2 linked regions of the Schizosaccharomyces pombe genome follow. The protein of the gene in region 2 interacts with the protein of the main gene of each other region in a pairwise test. Each region holds a gene or a part of one and is shown on either strand. Other genes may lie near its edges.

Region 1 (3,933 bases), 1.2 Mb from region 2:
CACACTCCTGCTGTTCCTGCTGTCCCGTCTCAAGTCAAAGACCTCCCTTCTATTTCAAAGCCTCAAGAATTGGATGAAGAAGAAGAACTTCGAAAACTACAGGCTGAATTCTCTCTTTAAAGTGACCAGTACGCTTGCTCGGTATTTTTATTATTTTCTCAATATGTTAAAGTCATCTTCTAAGGTTTCTGTTATAACTTATGGAATTATTTAATTTGTCAGTTGTTAGTATTCTATGTTTTCCTTGTTATGAGTCATCATGGAAGCCTAAATACAAATTTTATGTACAATACCATTATTAGACTATAACTTATAGGTCTCCGTCCTCATGTTCGGATGTGTGTTTTTTCATTGTATTTTAATAATTGGTGTAGTTAAATAATCTACGGAAAAACTAGCTGAAGAATTTTACATATTACGTCTTCTTCATTCTACTAAAACAACTGTATCAAATGACTGTTAGTTCAAGTTAACTTTTTAATGTTTTGAGTTATTCCAGACACGTTCATATCTTGTCAAATTGATTAATATTAATCTAAACAGTGTGCTCAGAATCCTGTTGTGTTTAATCATTAAACAGTGTATCAACCTAGCGCTTTTGGTTTATTTGCTTTGGCAAATAGTCAAGCTCAACTGAGGAAACGATAAGAATTCTTCAACAAAATAAAAGTAATGTAAAAACTTAGAAACAGCCATTCTAATATGCATATTCAAGCTGTCAATCAATTTGTTAAAAAATATACATTTAGAGGCTTTTGACACCCTTATTAACAGCAGTGGATAAGATTGAAAAAATACATTATTCTTTGCCAGAAGTAGGATAAACGTAAGGCTTGACCAACATCTCAGAGAAAGACTTCAAAGCTTCAGTACCGCGAACTTCAGCTGGAACTTGCGGTACTTTGACAACATGAAAGTCTTCATAGAGCTCTTCAATTTGCGCCAAATATTTTTGTTGCATTTTTCTTCTAGCCATACACTGGGGACAAGTGGTGTTGGGATCAAGCAAAAGTTGGTTAACAACGATGTTGTGAGTATCAATTTCATAACTAGTAAGTTCTTGAATCATTCTTTCAGTTTCATAAAGAGAAAGGAACTCGGAAATACATACACACACAAAAGTAGTAAGATCTGGATTCTTAAATTGCTTGTTAACTTCAGAAATATTAGCACGCATGCTTTCCATCTTTCCAAATAGATCTTGTTCATTGGCATTTACACCCATTATGCTACCCATTTGGTTAATCATAGGGCCAAATCTACTGGAGAGACCGCCAAGCTTGCCGAGAGCTTTTTCCAAAACAGTTGGAAAATTCAAAAATCTTAACGTATGTCCAGTAGGAGCGGTATCGAAAATGACACAATCAAATTCCATAGATTTGATCTGCTTAAGGATTTCAGCGAATGCCAATGCCTCGTCGATACCTGGTATTGTAAAAGCCAAATCCTGCATCATTCCAGATAAAGGATTATTGGGATTTTGTTGGTCAGCTTGCTCTGTCATTTCCTGAATGGATAAATTAGGATCGATCTCCATGGCACTCAGATTATCAAAACCAGGAACCTTACGAGCGTCTTTTCCAAATTTCGTGCCAAAGGCATCAGAAAGATTGTGAGCAGGATCCGTGGAGATAAGTAGAACAGAGGATCTAACTTTTGACATTTGAATGGCCAATGAACACGACGTAGTTGTTTTTCCTACACCGCCTTTTCCTCCTACAAAAATCCATTTTAAGGAAGTTTGCTCAAGAAGGTTTTCTAAGGTTCCAGGCAATGGGTCGAAGGACATTTTACTTTATTAGAGAATTTTTTTTTTTAATCTGAAGCTAGTCTTCTTATAGACTCTCGTTGACCAGATGCACGATGCGATATGCTGAGGATAGGTGTTACGACAGTTTGCAAGTGAAAATGAAGATCCTAAGTACGCGGCAGATCAGTTCCCAACGATCAGAGATAAAAATTTAATTAAAGACTTAATAATTGTACATTGCAACTACAATTAATAGTGTATAGCATGTTTTGTTCCTATTTTTGATACGCTAGCAATATAACAATTAAGTAAGTTTTTTATCAAGGATTCGTAAAGCCATGCTAGTAGAATGCTAAATACGGTATGCTGAAATTTCATAATTAAAAAAATTCCTTTAAATGGATTTTCTAATCGTATAATATGTTTTGGCCTGCTGAAGCTCGATTACCATATTCGTTATAAAGAAAAGAACTACATGGAATCATTCAACGTAAATCAAGGATCAGAGCTACAGATGTTTGTTGATGACTAAAGCACTCACAAGAAATCAAGGAACAACTTTGAATCATACTGAGCAGAGAATATACTATTTTGTACCATCATATAAATTTGCATCCATATCAACAACATATTTAGTAAACTACCAGTTTTTGCATACCGATAGAGGAGATATATTAAACTGAATTAAAGAAAAAGTTATTATTTCTAAGTCTGAATATAATCCCTGATAAGCAAACAAAGAAAAACATAAAACACACTATCGAAACCCAACACCAAACAAAAACAATCGTAAAAAGTATTAATAGTACATTAAAATCGGATCCTTATGAATACCCCTGTACAATTAAATATGACTATCTTGATTCGCAGCATCCAGTACCAGTGGATGGGGTTCCATAAGTATCACTCGCGAAAAGGAAAAATCCTATCCAAGCACCTACGAAACCGAACAAAATGGCATATCCGTTAAACGACATTACAATCAACATGAGGATGGTAGCGGACAAGTAAAACGATGAATACATGGCTGCTCGTATTAGTTGTTGCCAGACAGTAACATGCACAGTGGAACTTGGAAAGAAGATACGCAGAGGTCCACTTAAAGTTTTGCCATTAGAGTGAGCAACAATCCAGCGATCAAACATTCTTTGAACGAGGGACAAACCTTCAATAGCGACGGCGAAGAAAAAAATTCCAATAATACTACCGGCGAATTTGTTTCCAGTGTTGATATGCCAGGATTTAGCCAGGAAACACGAGTCATGTATATACCAATTCCATAGCATACTCATGCGACATGTCGCAGCACTCGAGTTACTGGAGCTACCCATACCCATGCCACTCATGCCACTCATACTCATCTTACTTAAGCTCATTTTGTTGCAAGAAGCGTTAGCCAAATATTGAGAAGTATCTTAGGTATCTGTCAATAAAGGATAAGAGCCGATAAAAAGAAAGAAAAGAAGACACTCAATGGAAAGCGTCTTAAACTAAAATAACAAGTATAACCGGAACAATGCGAAAACAAATGTCTTTTGTTGAAAGTAAGTTAATAACACTAGTTTTACCACCTTTAAGCGAAATATCTCTCTATGAGCTGGGCCTTTTTCGCAGACAGACAAAATGTATAATTTAGCAACTTCTTACTGCTACCTATACACTTGAATTAGAATGATCACTACAGGTTTTTTTCAAGTCCTGAATGTTCAATTAAGCTGAACGCTCAAATATCGCTTCAAAGTGAACGGGGGTAGGATTACCTTTTATAGCAGTTTAAAAGCATCATCTACTGATATGCGACTTTTTCTCCTTTGGGTAAAAACTACCAGCTATAATCGCTCAGCAAAATTCCCGCCAAATGGTGATTAAGGTATTGCGGCGGGTCGCGTTAATCGAAAAGAATATAAAAATAAAAAAAAAAAGCAAAATTAATTAATTAATTAAATCAAACATACAAAGGAATTTGGATGAATATGAATATGTAAATTTTAATCCCGGTGATGTTATCGTATACATTAAGAGTTACAAGAAACTCCAAAAAAAATAAACAAATGAGGTTTGCCTAAATTGATATTCAAATACGATTTTCGTACGTTGTAAATAGATATAAAAGTAAAGTAAGATTTGTATGAATACAATAACAATTAAGATTCTTCTTTTGATTAAAGCACTACAGGAGCATT
Region 2 (7,146 bases):
ACCCTCGAAATATGGGGCACTTATGAAACCCCAGCCGCTGAATTTATTGTAATTAAAAACTTATCCTATCCAAAAAAAAGTTTGACCAGAAGAAAACCCTAACGAAATAAATTTGATCCCTTCTTGGAGGGGACTTCTCTCTTTAGCTTTTGTAGCAGAGATTGTAGCTATGTTCAGATACATAAGCACAGTGGACAAGCAATACCCAAGCTTTAAAGTCTCCAAGTAGAAATAATTAGTACGCCTTCTAGATCTTGAAAGAAACTGATTGACGAAAACTAAGAGACACGACCCTTTGTAGACAGAGGCTATCGATCCCTGGATATCTCACAAATGTCAAAACAAATAAAAATTGACTAAATGAAGAGATGAGTTGTCAAATTTGCCTAAAAATTAAATAATAAAAGTTTGCTAATTAAATGATAAAAAATATTGCAAAATTAACAATATAATTATTCCCTTCTCTTTCCCCAATTTTTCTTTCCCTTTTTTGTTATTAAAAAAATAAATAAACCAAATAATTAAAGATCCGAATGTAATTGAGATATTCGTTAACGTTCACTGCTAATAGATCGTTGCTGATTGCTCCTCTAAATCTAATGCAATAAAACACAACTTGAAATATCGTAAAGAGATGCAATTTCACTCCAATTTGATCCTTGCAAGAGCCTAATTAATTTCTGTCCTAATTTAATGAATTAAACAGAATGCTTATGGTTTCATAAATAATGTAGTTTTTATATGGTTGATGTGGTGGTTTTAATTCACATATCGCTCTTCACTTAACTAACCGAACAATTATATTACGAACTCTAACGTACTACCTTGCCTTAGAAACGACGCCCCCAATACATATTGGTAAATCCTTTAGTAAAGTGAATGAACGATCGATTGCTTCTAATGAGCAAGTCTTTGTTTTTAAGACCTATTATTTGAAGGATACTTTTGTCGAATGGGTACATCTAGGGTCATATGTAATTCATAGAATATATAGATAAATCATAATTTTGTCCTCAACTTTACTATTAACTATGTGGGGAATTGTGGAGAAACACTAATGTTACATTTACTGTCTAAACTGTAAGCGAGAATACTACCTATCTGAATATTGTAATATAAAAACATAGAAACATTACTAAATTTTTAAAAATTTGATCTGTACCACTTGTTTGATTTTATACTTTTTTTTCAATTTATTCTACGGGTAATGCTGTTTTAGGAGTGCGAACTTAAGTAATTGTAATTGGGAGTTTTACCATAGTTCAAAGATTTGTGACACTTTTTATTATTCAGTGCTAAAGACTTGAGTGGTCTTATTAGGCGAATATACAGAAAGAATTTTATTTTCTCTCCATAAACTGCTAACTTCAATCTGGAAGATTTGCTAATATACCAAAGATTAAAGCTTATGTTAATAGACTATGTCGCGACTCTAAAAAGCCAAAACCATATAAATTGAAAATACTACGACATCTTGCTCGTGCTGATAAATTGTTTTAAAACATTTTTTGCACTTGCATTGTAGTGTAAATAGGACATGATTCTCAAAATCATAGACTAAAGAAAACCGCTTTGTTGAATGTTCTTCTTCAGCATACACATAATTCTCTTAAGCCTTTGAAAAATTAGCCTAAGAAATTAAATCCACAGAAAACCTTTATTAGGTAAATAAGTACAGTATTATGTACAGGTTATTACATGACTACAACGCTATTTAAGGCTAGTAAATAGTAGAAGCAAAATTGAAATGATATTTATAGATAAAAAGAAATACACATATGTTTTGGTATAAAAAAGTTTAATCGCATGCGATGCTTGTATATCTATAGATCGCAACTCCGCTTAAGTTTACGGAGCCTTAATATAAATCAGAAAATCGTGAGTAGAACATTGCTTAAAAGCGAAGGTCCCATCCAATTTTAGGACCTAAAATAGGAAGTTGTTCAGCTACGCTTTGAACATCCTTGTCACCACGACCTGAAATGGTGATCACAATATCCTTATCTTTAGGTAACTTTTTAGCAAGCTCCATTCCACCATACACAGCATGAGAAGATTCCAAAGCGGGAATGATACCTTCAAGATGACATAGAGCGCGGAATCCTTCTAAACATTGAGCATCAGTGACAGCGATAAACTCTGCGCGATTGGTATATTTAAGTTCAGATAATTCGGGTCCCACACCTGGATAATCCAATCCAGCAGATATAGAGTGAGTATCTTGAATTTGTCCATCTTCGCGTTGCAGAACATATGTTCGAACTCCATGAAATACACCAACTTTTCCCATAGTCAATGTAGCACTATGTTTGGGGGTATCTACACCATCACCACCAGCTTCACAACCCAACATCATTACACTTTTATCGGCTTTGAAGGGAGAAAACATTCCAATCGAATTGGATCCACCACCAACACAAGCAACAACTGCATCAGGAAGTTTTTTACGCTTCTCTTGCATTTGCGCTTTCGTTTCCTCGCCAATGACACTTTGGAAAGTTTTAACAATGGTAGGGAATGGATGAGGGCCAATTGCAGATCCAATTAAATAATGAGTGGTGTCTATTTGTTCGACCCACGCCTTCAAAGCTTCGTTAACAGCATCACGAAGGGTCTGTGTACCTGAAGTAACCGGAACGACTTCAGCTCCCAAAAGACGGATGCGAAAAACGTTGAGTGCTTGACGACGACAATCTTCTGCACCCATGTAGATAGTACATTTCATACCAAATTTAGCGGCACAGATAGCAGTAGCAACTCCATGCTGACCAGCACCAGTTTCAGCAATGATACGGTTTTTTCCTAAACGTTTGGCAAGAAGAATTTGCCCAATACAGTTGTTAATTTTGTGTGAACCACCATGATTCAAGTCTTCACGCTTCAACCAAATATGGGCACCACCACAATACTCAGTTAAACGCTTAGCATAATCGAGGGCACTTGGACGACCCATATACTCATAATAAGAACGAAATTCTTCCCAAAACTTTTCATCATGCAAAGCCTTATAAAATACACTTTCAAGTTCAACTAAGCACTGGGTTAATGCTTCTGGAACATACATACCACCAAACATGCCATATTTTTGAGGAAGATACATTTCGTTGATAGGTTCGACCACAGCAGCAGGGGGGGCAGTAGCAACAGAACCACCGGATTGAAACTGTTTAGGTACAGGTGCGGATGGGTCTTCTTTAGTAAGATATTTACAATATTCCTCAACCACGGTAGCAGCAGTGCCAGGCTCTGCCTTCAAAATCAAATCGATAATTTTGCTTCCAACTACAACACCATCTGACACGCTGCCAACTTGGTGGAAATGTTCACTGGTGTTAACACCAAAACCAACTGCTAGAGGGGTATCTCCAGCAAATTTACGAACACGCTGACAGAGCTGAGGCAAAGCAGTATTGATTACTCCGGTAGCAGATGATCCTGTACTACCCATACGAGAAACAACGTAAATAAAGGAGTCAGCCACAGAGGCCAAGAGCTCCATACGCCTGTCCGTAGTAGAAGGAGCAACAAGAGGAACGAAACTAACACCTTGCTTTTTACATTCTTCTCTAAAGCCGACAGCCTCCTCTGGAGGAAGGTCAACGATGATGAAACCATTAGCGCCAACCTCCTTTGCCTTTTGAATAGTTTTGGCATCTCCATAACTGAAAATAGGATTGTAGTAACCCATCAAAATTATAGGGATAGTTACACCTGCATCACGAGCGAGCTTTACAGTTTCAAATACTTTTTCTAAAGTAATATTATTCTTCAAAGCAATTTCGTTTCCCTTGCAAATTGTAGGACCATCAGCGACGGCATCAGAAAAAGGAATACCAAGCTCAATTATTCCTGCTCCTCCATTTTGCAAACCTTGCATAATTTTGATAGTTTCATCAACATTAGGAAAACCGCAAGTGACAAATGTCACTAAAACATTTTTGTTTTCTTCTTTTGCTTTGAGAAACGTTTTTTTAATCTGCTCTGTCATTTTTCATGAGTTTTGCGATAGTCAAAAAAATATTGGCGGTGGAACAGAGATTGGAGGGACCGACAGAATAGATCGTTAAGATTTCAAACGAAGATGACCATATTGATAAGTCAAATAATTTTATAGATAACTAAATTAAGTTTCAAAACATTATAAAATCGTTAAGGCCTGCAATTGTGGTGCAGATTGAACCAAATTTCGTAAGTTCATGGGCAAATTACCTTCAGGTGGATGGATGTTAAACTAAAAAGTTAAATTTCGACTTCACCATTAACTTCACTTGAATGTAAGCTGTTTACTACTAATATAAAAGTATATGCCTAGTTGATACTAAATTTTGTTATGAATGAACGGAATCAACCTGAGACATCAATGTCTAGATTAATCAAATGTAAGTAAATGAGAATTGGGGTTGCTGACTTTCATTGTTATTAGAAATATATACAGTTTTTACAGAACGGAAGCTGATTGCACAGACAATTCGCCTGTCGAAAAATAAGAGTATTGGCGTTACATAGCAATCCATCAAAAAAGTTTGTCATATTTTGTTGCATTAAATATCACCTTTTGGTACATTTTTTAGATTTCTCAGAATAATTTTAAAGATCCTGTAACCTCATTGATTACGCTGACAGGCCCAGGACCAATGCCCAAGACTGTAGCAGAACCAGATGCAATCTGGGTGCGACCAGCATCGTGTATAACCCTGGCACATAGCCCTAGAGACATTGCTTGGGCTTGCAGTAATTCCAACGTCTCTTCGGTTTGAGCTTGAAGAGTAATTTTAGCCTGTCCAGCATTTTCCCATATACGTACCAAATCGGGGTCCACCGCAGATGCGATTTTGTAGCAGGCTAAGGCTGCATGCGCACATTGAGCTGCTATTTTTCCTTTGGTCATGCCTAAATCCGTCCTAACGACCAATACCATTTTAGTTTGTCCTTCCGCCAATGCAAGCGCAGCCAAACTGCTGTTTCCTTTCAGCATATCTAAAAGTTCAGTTTCGGACTCGCTGTCTTCATCATTGCTAACAGAAACAGGACTTTCTTTTTCTGGGTTAGATGCTTTGTTGGCATTTTTGGAACTATAACCTCTTGATGCATCTGCTACACTGTATTTGCGTCCGATCATAAACCCCACTACAGCGCCGACAAGTACTGCTGCAGGAAAGGAGGAGATCATGAAATTTACGAAAGGTACTTTCATAACTACTATGAAATTATAATGTCAAAATAATTATGTGTGCGAAACTTAAGAGCTAAGAAACATAATATATACCGGCAACATCATTAAATTGATGTAGTGAAGCGCAACATACTCCTCTCAAAACTATTAATTTGTTTCACAAAATTAATAATGATGCATTCAGAGAAATTAATATTAAATTTCATTAAAAGAACGAAGAAGGATATCTCATATATGTGTTTGAAAAGTTTGACTGACCAGAAGCCAACTCATGGTACTTATTTAAATTTAGGCGTCTCCAATCTTCTATGCGCTTCTCCATTTTAACATGATAACTCGAAGAAAGAATGAGTAATCAAGAGTATACAAAAAATTATGTTTAGCGTTAACATTGAAGTGAGACTTTCTAACATCAATTGTAGCGACGACGCTTAGGGGAACTATCTCTTCCTCCATAGTCTGAAGAGTGAGAGGAGCGAGTAGGACCACGACCAAATCTTGACCCTCCTCCAGAAGATTTTCGAAATCCTCCTCGATAGCCACCACGAAATCCAGAGTCGCCACGAAATCGGGATCCCCGTTCCCGTCGCGGCCTTTCTTTTGTATAATGTCGCCCGCCAAGTCCACCACCTAACTTACGCGGTAGCCATCCTTTTACAGTTCTACCTCTTTCGACATCGACCACTATCCGCCTTCCATTTAGCATCAAACCAGCTGATGCTTTGTAAGCAACTTTTAAATCTCGTTCCCTTTCAAACACAACAAATGCATATCCCATTGATTTTCCTGTAACTTTATTACGAACAACTCGTATGCGCTCGATAGGCCCATATCGAGTAAATTCTCGTTCAATATCGCTTTCCTTGGTATCATAGCTTAACCGAGAAAGAAACATAGTTTTATATGGATCTCCAATGACATGGCGATCGTGATCAGGATCCCATACCTTAATCATGGACCGTAATCTTTCTCGTTGCTGTTTTTGTTTCTCGTCTCTAAGACGCAAACGCTTTTCTTCCAAGCTTTCAGTCGGGTGATATTGTTGATCGTGAGACTGCGCATATTTCAGATATTTTGCTATGCCTGAAACGCGAGGTGTTGAACGTTTCTCAGGAGGCACATCCATAGGAGGCAGATACCTCAATGGGGGACGTGGAGCAAACAATGCAAGTAGAGGAGCCGGTAATTTTTCAGCCATTCTATATGAATTGTTTTTTTTTATTTAGAAGTGTGTGGGTGCAATGCTGTGTAGGGTATATCCCAGTAAAGCGATATTGCCTGTATAATAAGTGCTATGTGGGGGCGTACAGTACAATTTTTTCGCTTATTATTAAAATATGTAAGCAAATTATATAGTCATATTTATTTGACATAAAAGGGAAGCAAATATGTATTTACCCTATGAATAAACCTAGTACACGCATGGGCTGCATCAAAAGGAAACCTCATAATTTTAAAGGACGAAAAGCCTCACCAGCTAATAAAAGTTAGGGAAATCCTTATTTCAACGTTGAATTCATGCATGATTAAAACGACAACAACAGAACATTGAGTAGACCGTTATTCTCAACAAAAAGTGATAGAAAAAAATGAAAAGAGCCACTAGATTAACTCAGTGTTCAACATTAACATCTAAGTCTCATTTAAAGTCAGTAGTCTTGATATTCATTAACAATTTGAATGTAAAACGAAAAATAAACATTAAAGGAATAACTTTAGAAGAGAATACCATATGTGTATTACACAGTCGTTCATTAGTTTCTAATGCAATGCCAATTAGAATAACAAATTAATGAAGACCATTGGAGTTAGAAGACACGACAGATTGTAAATATGACAGAAAATGATCATCAGACCCTTTGAAATCGGATTCCTGGGTATCTTCCTTTTTTTGATCTGCCAAAGGCGAACGTTTTAAAATCTTAACGAAACCAGGACTCATATCAACATGGTTTTTGTTGGTTTCCGAATTC

The links. The genes of interacting proteins can lie anywhere in the genome.
Region 1: the proteins of pth2 (region 2) and get3 interact in a two-hybrid assay, tested with the Schizosaccharomyces pombe proteins (2 studies listed by BioGRID).

What each region holds. Positions count from the first base shown.
Region 1 is NC_003424.3:3,634,958-3,638,890, reverse strand, and holds get3 (GET complex ATPase subunit Get3), read right to left. Parts: upstream 1,882-3,933; 5' UTR 1,790-1,881; coding exon 800-1,789; 3' UTR 501-799; downstream 1-500. Other genes in the region: ESCRT III complex subunit Vps32, read left to right, coding at 1-120; Cu transporter complex subunit Ctr5, read right to left, coding at 2,605-3,126. UniProt on the Schizosaccharomyces pombe protein: ATPase required for the post-translational delivery of tail-anchored (TA) proteins to the endoplasmic reticulum. Recognizes and selectively binds the transmembrane domain of TA proteins in the cytosol.
Region 2 is NC_003424.3:2,455,764-2,462,909, forward strand, and holds pth2 (aminoacyl-tRNA hydrolase), read right to left. Parts: upstream 5,233-7,146; 5' UTR 5,195-5,232; coding exon 4,577-5,194; 3' UTR 4,426-4,576; downstream 1-4,425. Other genes in the region: trp2 (tryptophan synthase), read right to left, coding at 1,895-3,988; U1 snRNP-associated protein Usp101, read right to left, coding at 5,586-6,371; mRNA-decapping complex catalytic subunit Dcp2, read right to left, coding at 6,963-7,146.